Schizosaccharomyces pombe: one gene and its partners. The main gene of each other region encodes a partner of the protein of the gene in region 3 in a complex. Each region holds a gene or a part of one and is shown on either strand. Other genes may lie near its edges.

Region 1 (3,480 bases), on a different chromosome or scaffold from region 3:
GAATGTCAGTTTGGGCTAAATGATAAGCTTGATTTTAAATTAAAACAATCAGAAAGCAAGTCTAAATCAAATAACTCTAGAAATCCGTCCTCAGTTAACGGAGGATTTGTCATTTTAGAAGATTGCCAGTTTCATCAATGTGTTAGATTGCCGGAATTTGAAAATGAACACAGAATTACTTTCATTCCGCCGGATGGTGAGGTTGAATTAATGAGTTATCGTTCACATGAAAACATAAATATTCCTTTTAGAATTGTTCCTATTGTCGAACAGTTGTCGAAACAAAAAATTATTTATCGTATCAGTATACGAGCAGACTATCCACACAAACTTTCTTCTTCTTTGAACTTTCGGATACCGGTTCCCACAAATGTGGTAAAAGCTAATCCTCGTGTAAATCGAGGAAAGGCAGGGTACGAGCCCTCTGAAAATATTATCAATTGGAAAATTCCCCGGTTTTTAGGCGAAACTGAACTTATTTTTTACGCTGAGGTAGAGTTATCTAATACAACTAACCAGCAAATATGGGCGAAGCCTCCAATATCCTTAGATTTCAATATTCTTATGTTTACCAGCTCCGGTCTACATGTGCAATACTTAAGGGTCAGTGAACCTTCTAATAGCAAATACAAAAGTATTAAATGGGTAAGGTACTCAACTAGGGCTGGAACTTGCGAGATACGCATTTAAGAAGTATTGTGATACAAAATTATTATTTTATTAATTGACGACCGTGCTTTTCCGACATGAAAAGAATTTCCAAAATAGTTTTAGAACATTTCAAAATGAAACAAGTGGCGTTGAAAGTTTAATAGATGAAAGAAGAGAGGTTATAATGAATGCAATTAAACACCATACCGCTTCGATGAGGCATTTGAGGCTATAATTATGCTTTTGTAGGCATTAATGAATAGACGGAAACCAAAATAAAACATTACCTGGGAAATGAAAAAAATACTAATACTTTTTCTTTAAAAGTCTAGCGATTTTCTGTTGTGATTCGAGTATCTGCTTATCTTGTAACTTACTTAACTCTTCGTTCACCCGTTTCATGTCAACTTGTTCAAGGACCTTTGGATACCTGCTCAGGGTTTTCACATTAGAACCATCAGGAAGTAATTCACCCTCCTGCCAATCTTTCAAATCATTTGGGGCATTTGGGTAAACGAAAGGTTCTTCCATCTCAACGATGACGCGTTTTTCAGATTGTGGTCTCTTAACCTGTCCTAGTTGATTTCTAAAAAGTTTGCCCTGATAAATTCTTGACTTAACTGATACGACTTTTAAATTGTACACATGTTGCAAATAATCGCGAACATCAAACTTGTTAACATGAAGAGGTACGCGAAATACTGCAAATTTAGGTTGAAGATTTAGTCCTCTGCATAACGTGAACGTTATATTTGGAAAGTACACTAATCTTTTCCCAGCAATTTTACTCATATTTACTATTGAGTTTCAACTTCAAGGCTAAAGCAACTTGTGCTAGTTATGCAAAAAAAGAGAAACAAATGGTTTTTCTCAACAGTAGATTTCAAGATGAATTTGATGTCAACGGCCTTAGGTAAACGATTAGTTATTAACCATTTGTTGGATTACGGAGTTCAAATGTTGTTTAGTACTAACGTGCTGAGAATCCGGTTGCTTTATTGCATCAAAGCTCAGTTGTATACTATTAACAAATAACGTCTCTGGTTGTATTATCCTAGAACGTAATATATGTAAGCTACGCAATTTGGTATCTGATTTAAGGATACGTAGAACTGCGGTGAGTTTTCCTTGTGATCTATTATATTGTAATACGCAAGTAGTATAAGTAGGAATTGGATATAGGTATTCTAATATATAGGATATATCGTTATCTATAGCTGAGATATCTTATAACTGAACTGAGGAATCAAATTCAGTTGTTCTCAATTTATAACATTTGAAATAACAAGGATTATAACTGATAGTCATCTTATCATAAATGATATTATATCCTTCTAGATAACTTATCATGTAAAGCTGATAGAGCAAATAGAACATTATGAACATGTGACATATAGTGATACACAACGTAGTATATCGTAGCGTAGTGTAGTATTGCTGACATATAAAGCAGCTTATTTCAAGTTCGTTATAGTTTATTAAAATACGTTGGATTACTTATTTTTAATATAAAGAAACGCAGCAGAACAATTGAAATGAGAATGTTAAATCAAACTTAAGAAGGCCCTTTTGATAGTTGTTATTCATACGGTAAATTTTCTTGCCAGCGACACTAGAGAACTAAAAAATCAACAAAAGTGCAGCTCACTCGTCTTAAATGTCCGGATTCCAGACGTCCGACGAGGTCGATATATCAAATTCTTTAAAAGCTTTTCCTGTTGATATTGCTACTGATAATCAAAAAGATAAGCACGAAAATGTTGGTGAAAATGTGAGCGATGAAGATGATGGTAATTATATTGCCTCGAAGCTTTTGGAGTCTAACAGGAGGACGAAGGGAAAAAAGGGGAATGGAAAGGCTTCTAATTTCCAATCGATGGGTATGTTAACTTCGTGATTACTTGCCATAAGGTCACTTTGCATTATGCTTCAAGACACTGTAATCTAAATTACTTTGATATTTTTCTAACTTAATTATAGGATTGAATCAAACTTTACTTCGAGCAATATTTAAGAAGGGTTTTAAAGCTCCTACGCCGATTCAGCGCAAAACGATTCCCCTTTTATTGGAAGGTCGTGATGTTGTAGGTATGGCACGTACTGGATCAGGTAAAACTGCAGCTTTTGTTATACCTATGATTGAGCATTTGAAGTCCACTCTAGCAAACTCTAATACTCGCGCCTTAATTCTCTCGCCAAATCGAGAACTTGCTCTTCAGACTGTGAAAGTCGTCAAAGACTTTTCTAAAGGTACGGATCTTCGATCTGTCGCTATCGTCGGTGGCGTCAGTCTAGAGGAGCAATTTAGTTTGCTATCCGGAAAACCCGATATTGTGGTCGCAACTCCTGGAAGATTTCTACATTTAAAGGTGGAAATGAAATTGGAGTTGAGTTCAATCGAGTATGTCGTTTTCGATGAGGCCGATAGACTTTTTGAAATGGGTTTTGCTGCTCAATTGACAGAGATTTTACATGCTTTGCCGACTTCTCGTCAAACTCTTCTCTTCTCTGCCACACTTCCACGTACTCTTGTTGATTTTGCAAAGGCTGGACTTCAAGACCCGGTTCTTGTACGCCTTGATGTAGAATCCAAGGTTTCCGCGGATCTACAAAGTGCCTTTTTTTCTGTTAAAACCGCTGAACGCGAAGCTGCTCTCTTATGTATACTACAAGATATCATTAAGCTTCCTCTAAAAGATAACGTGCGCCCAAGAGAAATAGGAAATGTCAATAATCCGAAGAAAAGAAAACGTGCATTAGAATTAGCGCTTAAAGGAAGTGAATCTGGATCACCAGATTCTACTCTAGTATTTGTTCCTACAAAACATC
Region 2 (2,690 bases), 1.3 Mb from region 3:
GCCAGCTTGTTCAAGGAGGAGCCATCTTTTGCTGCTGGCGTCGTTGAAATGCCAGCAGGAGCAGAAAAACCAGTGAAGCCTTCGAAACACAACATAATGTCTTTTTGTATACTACAGGGAAAGATCGAGGTCACAGTAAATGCAACCACTTTTCGAATGAAAAAAGATGGAGTATTTATTGTTCCAAGGGGTAAGTTTAAATATACACATTTCTAAAAATTCAAACAGGAATTATACACCGAGAATGTGTTTTGACTAACATTGCTTTAGGGAATTATTACAGCATAAAAAATATCGGCAAAGAAGCTGTTCGACTTTATTATACCCATGCGACCGACACCTTGGAAAATAAAAGAAGGGGAATAGGGGATTTTCCAAACGAACGATGACAATACTAATAGTGTGTTATGGATTTCGATGTACAAAAGTCATTTAGTCGTTATGTAATTTAATTATCTGTTATCAATTTAATCATATTAATAAAGTCATTTTTTCTAAACTTATTTTTGCATCATTTCCTTAAATTTAAGCGTTTTACTGTAATCGTCAATTAATTCAGTTAGCCTACCAATATTCATTTTTGTCGGATCAACAGTCAACTTTTTTCCATCCTCTAAATAATAATTATTAGCAAAAGTCAAATCTAACGGTCGCAGTTAAACCATCTAGCTACTTAAAAGCCTTACTGTATACAACTTCAACAGATGGTTTTGAATTGGTATCCTTTGATGCAAGACTGGTAATGAGATTAAGTCCATAAAGAGAGTTGCTGGTTTCTTTACTGGCAACTGCTAGCAAAAGTTTCGCAGATTGACTAGCTTTGGAAAACGGGTTCACATTCAAAATTGACAATTTATTAATGTACCCAAATATCATGATTAAAAATTTTAACTGGAGAGTAAAGTCGTCAAGGAATGTAATTAAAAGAGATCTTTATGTGTAGATATTTTAAATACATTAAATGGTGGTAAGTTTTGTAAACGAAATGACATTTGGTAAGCTAGGTGACCGTTACCCTGATAGTCTCACTTCCTACAACAACTAAGTCAACTTGGAGATACAAACGAAACTAGTATGTCTCTATAATACAATTTGTCATTCCAATTTTATATAGAACCTCGGTTTCCGCTTGTGAAATATTTTTTCATGAACAATTGCAATTTTGATTTTATCCAACATGACTACCGATGTGAAGGCTAAAAACCCTGCGTCGATTTTCAGCCATGAAACCCTCCTTCACGTTCTTAATGATTTGTCTGCACATGACTTAGCTGCTTTAGAACGTGTATCTCGTAGTTGGAATTCAATTGTGCGCCGTTCATCGGTATGTTCTTCTTGACTTTTTAGTGATATAGTCGAATTTTCATGTTTTGAGAGACTGATTTCCATGTACTAACGACCTTCATACAGGTATGGCATAATTTATATCTCTCAGAATTTGGGACTAAGCATTTACGACGACATGGTCGCATTGAAAAAAAACGAAGGAATTGGAAAGGATTGTTTCGAAGGCAATCTAACTGGAAGGACGGACGTTGTAAAAAAGTAGAGTCTATGCTCCCTCAATTGCTTAATTCTGAAAAAAGCGTTGGAGAAGATCGTTTGGGGCTAACGCTTACACACCAAAATAATATTTATTTTTGTAATGACGTTCAAATATCAAAATGGAGCTCAGTTGGTAACAGTTTGAAATGCCAGGCTATTTCTTCTTTTAGAGATGAAACTGTCAAATCTGGTCCGGCTGTAATGTGTCTGGATAACGCCAGCCTTTATATTGGTTTAAAGGATGGTAACCTGCTACATGTAACGGTGCATGAGACAGGTTTCGGAAATATTGAAAACCTTGCAACATTCTCTACCAAATTTGTGGCATTATCATCGCATAAAAATTACATTTGTGGATTGACAAACGACAACAATTTATATATACTTCAGCATTCTCATCAAGCTGGAACCAAATTGAAAGTACTTGGTAAATATCATGTTTCAAGTATTGAAAAACAGGTTGCTATTCACTTTCAGCAATCAAAAGAAGGATATGAAGTTGTTCATGTAGTTTTTAATGATTATGTTCTATCTGGTGGATGGACCGTTAGTTTGCAAGAATTTGTTTTCAACGAATATTGCGTCAAAAGTAGTAGGCTTGCATTGCATGACAACAAAGACATTGAGTACTCTCAGCAACCTGCTTCTGCTATTTTTATGTATGGGTCCTATATTTTGACATCTCATCCGGACAATTCTTTAATTTTGCAGAGGCTTTATTCAACTAACAACGAATTACGGATAAAATTTTTAGGTCGTCTCTTAGGACACGTTTGTGGTGTTCAGATATCTAAACTATTTTCTTGTGGAAGAATTGTTTCTGTATCCAAAAACTGTGCCGATATTTGTGTTTGGGATCTTCATGATACAAATTATCAATCAATCGTATCTCCGCTAATGCTAACTTGCACAAACATCCACAATAAGCCCGTATCTGATTACGAAAAAGAATGTAAGGTTCAAGATATAGGACTGTATGAAGATACTATTTTGATAACCCTTTCCGACGGCAGAATATTAAAGTTTCTCTTTAATATTTAGAGAAAGGTTTCACTTTATCGTACATGATTGAATTCTAAATGATGAGTTTAACCATAGTTTTATAATTTTATTTATATTATTATTATTACTTAGATTGGATTATT
Region 3 (3,763 bases):
ATCTTCCCCCTTTTTAAGAAGGAGGATAGCTTCTTGCTCTCCAACGTTGAATCGTACAGGTTCAGCATTCTTACCTTCGTTGGCATGATAACGAGAAAGAAATGATATTTTTTGTTCAGAGAGTCGAACAAACTGGGTGAAAAGTATGTGAAGCGCGTAATCAACTGCCGTATGGTCCTGCTTCTCAGAATACAAAGGACCATTTTCGACAGGTTGATCGTGAGCAATTTCATTCAAGCTCATTCAGGTTGGCATTATATGGTTATCTACTAAATAGACGAACTTCAAAGAAAAGGAGTATGCAAAGTAAGGGTTTGAGAGCAATACCGCTAGCCTACAGAAAAGTGAAGAAAAAAGTGTATAAAAAAGCTATCTCGTTAGTTTTTATATTTAAGCATGCGTAAGCAAATTGACTAGCAATCGATTGTTAAAATTTAGGCGTGAATGGATTCAAAACTAGAAGTTTGTAATGGCTAGCACTCCGAACAATAAAACCTCTCAGCACACTGCAACAATTTTTGCACATAAAGGAATATAACGCACTGCGTTGTAGTAGGTGTGGTACTATATAGTAGGTGATATACTTAAAAGTCTAACTTCAAAATGCCCAAAATAATTTTTAAATGAAATGTAAAAAAAGAATAACCTTCTGTATGTTTGGTCAAAACTTTCTGAATTCTATGTCAGAAAAGATAATATGGTACAAGTTCAGTTTTTTTTAATGATTTTTAAACCGTGGCAAATGCGATTTTTACACGCTAACTTTTTGGAAACGAATTATAAATATTTGTTGAAAAAACTTGAAAGTTTAAGAACAACATATACAATGCTTAATTATCAAATTATTCGCGTGGAAAAAAATAGAAGCATAAATCAGTAGAAAAAGAAAGACATATACGCAAACTTGTATACGCCCAAGACAAAGTAACAAAATAAGTTATAAATTTAATCATGCATTCACATTTTTGAGCATTAGACAGTAATAAACTACGATGACCGTGACGGGAGTTTAAATAAATAATAAAAAGAAGAAAATGTTATTTCGTGCAACCTTAAGTTGAAGGAAATCCAAAGGCATTGATGCATGTAATTATTAGTATATCCTTTTGAAGTATCTCTAAATAGTGAGCATTGCAGGTATGATGATGAGAGTTTCCGCATGGTTTCATGAAACTTGAGCAGAATTAGCAGAAGTTATATACTTATTGACACGGCGAATTGTAGGTTCATCTTTGGGCCTTGGTAACGTTGTCTCTTTGTCAAAAACAACACCGACGTATTTCCTCCGTTTGCGAAGAGACACATCCATTTGAAAAAACTTAACATATCCGGAAACAAGAGAATATATTGTGTGATCTTTACCTAGACCGGTATTATCTCCGGGATGAAATTTTGTACCACGTTGTCGAATTAGGATCTCACCAGCCCTAACGAATTGGTTTTCAGACCTTTTTATGCCGAGACGACGACCAGCAGAATCACCTGTGTTTTTCGATGAACCACCGCCATGTTTAGTAGAAGTACGAATAGGAGGGAAAGTGAGAATATTTGATGCTTTCTTATAAGCTAAACTAGCTTTAAGTAATTGAAAATTGTTAACACGAATAAAAAGCCCTTGATTGATCATTGCACGGTGAACTTTGCATCAAATGAAGTACGTATTGTAAAAGAAAAATGTGTTAAACTGATTTGGCAAATAATTAGTAATGTAGAAGGATACTAAATATTAAAAAAATTATATCTTCGTCGAAATATTGGTTTATACTAAAAGGATGGATTCGTTGTAACCAATCTTCGAAAGTTTCTACCTTACATTTCCTTTATCCCAATTTACGAGTCGTGGTAATCGTATAAAATATTCTTATTTTACAATAGTGTAGCCTTACATTTTCTGTTTGAAATTCCTTACTCCTAATATCTCGCTAAAAGAGTACCATTACCTACAATTTACTTTGTTTATATTGGAAGCATGATCGCTAATGAAAAAAAAAGTAAAAGACACTAAATTTACGTCGACAATTTCTATCCTTCTTTTTAATCATGGAAAATTCACTTGGCTCTTCAATTCAAACAGCATTAATGACTGCATGAAAGAAATATAACTTTTTCAAAGTTTTAGCCTTTATTGTATTGTCTTTATTACTCAATGATATTCAATTTTACTTGAACTTTTAAAGTATGCAGCTGGAATCACATATAATAGATTTTTCTGTGCTACTAATTGATGTCTTAATGCAATTTCAACTGTTTTGTTCCTCAAAGCAAAAATTTATGAATAAAAACGGATGTGCTTCGTGTTACTAGTTGGTGGCAGGAACCAGCAAATTTCATTTTCTTGTGAAGAAACCATAAATTCTACCTTGACAGCGATATGCTTCAAGTTATACAGTATATGTGCTGCCTTAGTTCGCAGGATAATGTATCAGGATATTGTCAAGCTTTAACTGGATTTGATTATACTCGGAAACTTCCTTAGGTTAAAAACTTTTAAAATTGGCATAAAATCTTTTTCTCGTGGATCTTCCAGCCATAGCACGACAGGGAGTACTAATTAAAGTACGTTTTGCTTAGCTGTACCTACGTTAATGTCGATCTGAAGCTTTAAGCTACTACTTCCACCTAATACTGTCGTGTCGATCCCATAACGGTGTGTTATCGACGATAAATACATCAATGTACGCGTTTTTTATTTTATGTAATTTATTAGAATATTTTTTAAAAGTTGTAAAATTTTTTGGTATATATTTTTAAAACAGGGTGGTGTTGCATTTCTAAATATTTCTCCATGTATATTGATTATGCACTTTTCCGTTTTCCATGATATGCCAGCTTTTGTGGCACGAACATAATTCTATGGGATCAGGAAGAGAGAAGAAAATAAGAAAGCTAGGAGATAACTTTTCATTACCATATCTGAAATTTGATTGTGACCATAATGACAAAAATTATCGCGCGTCAAATAGGCCATTTGGACTTTCAACTGGACTGTCAGTGCAGTTGAATGCTTCGAACATGACTGATCCCTTTAAATTTTTGTTAGATAATTGGCATACAATTTTCAAAAATGGAGCAATTAAGCTTCTGCCACCTGAGGGATGGCAAATACCTGTTGTTCTTGATCAAGGCGCTTTTGAGTTTCAGTCAAAACGCCAATGTTTAAATAAAGGTTGTCTCAATTATGAAAAAAATTATGATTATTTTAAGAAACTTAAAGCATTTCATGAAAGTCGCGGTTTATATTTTTATCACCCACCGATTATCGGGAATCGCCCAGTTGATTTTTTGCGTTTGCGTAATGCAATCTCAAAGTTTACTAATTCCGGCTCTTCATTAAATAATGAAATTTTACATAAAGTCATAATCTATTTGCGTCTTGAAGATACTAAAGAAGTGAGGCAGGTTCTCACTCGTTGCTATGATCGATACATCAAACCATTTGAAAGGGATTCATCGCCATCATTCAAATCAAAAAGATCAGAGAGCTCAACTCGGAAAATTAGAAACACTCGTAGTTCAGCTCAGCAAGAATCCCCTATACCCGAAACTTCTGCTCAATCTCCTGTTCAAACCATCCAGGTCAACGGCTCTACGAGTTTGAAACGACCTCTTATTGAAAGAGGAGAGCAATGTGAGTATTGTGGCTTGGACAAGAATCCGGAAACCATTTTACTTTGTGATGGGTGTGAAGCGGCATATCATACTTCCTGTTTAGATCCCCCTTTAACGTCGATTCCTAAAGAGGATTGGTATTGCGACGCTTGCA

The links.
Region 1: mrp7 (region 3) and mrp20 share a complex: the UniProt entries of both Schizosaccharomyces pombe proteins name them as parts of the mitochondrial large ribosomal subunit.
Region 2: mrp7 (region 3) and mrpl44 share a complex: the UniProt entries of both Schizosaccharomyces pombe proteins name them as parts of the mitochondrial large ribosomal subunit.

Annotation. Positions count from the first base shown.
Region 1 is NC_003424.3:401,023-404,502, reverse strand, and holds mrp20 (mitochondrial 54S ribosomal protein uL23m), read right to left. Parts: upstream 1,618-3,480; 5' UTR 1,444-1,617; coding exon 958-1,443; 3' UTR 691-957; downstream 1-690. Other genes in the region: AP-2 adaptor complex subunit Apm4, read left to right, coding at 1-690; ATP-dependent RNA helicase Dbp10, read left to right, coding at 2,309-2,531, 2,632-3,480. UniProt on the Schizosaccharomyces pombe protein: Component of the mitochondrial ribosome (mitoribosome), a dedicated translation machinery responsible for the synthesis of mitochondrial genome-encoded proteins, including at least some of the essential transmembrane subunits of the mitochondrial respiratory chain.
Region 2 is NC_003423.3:4,124,069-4,126,758, reverse strand, and holds mrpl44 (mitochondrial 54S ribosomal protein mL53), read right to left. Parts: upstream 877-2,690; coding exon 687-876; intron 614-686; coding exon 501-613; downstream 1-500. Other genes in the region: cnp3 (centromere protein), read left to right, coding at 1-190, 271-389; F-box protein Pof12, read left to right, coding at 1,178-1,324, 1,411-2,586. UniProt on the Schizosaccharomyces pombe protein: Component of the mitochondrial ribosome (mitoribosome), a dedicated translation machinery responsible for the synthesis of mitochondrial genome-encoded proteins, including at least some of the essential transmembrane subunits of the mitochondrial respiratory chain.
Region 3 is NC_003423.3:2,860,998-2,864,760, forward strand, and holds mrp7 (mitochondrial 54S ribosomal protein bL27m), read right to left. Parts: upstream 1,764-3,763; 5' UTR 1,628-1,763; coding exon 1,166-1,627; 3' UTR 482-1,165; downstream 1-481. Other genes in the region: morphogenesis protein Mor2, read right to left, coding at 1-243; Lid2 complex histone demethylase subunit Lid2, read left to right, coding at 2,818-3,763. UniProt on the Schizosaccharomyces pombe protein: Component of the mitochondrial ribosome (mitoribosome), a dedicated translation machinery responsible for the synthesis of mitochondrial genome-encoded proteins, including at least some of the essential transmembrane subunits of the mitochondrial respiratory chain.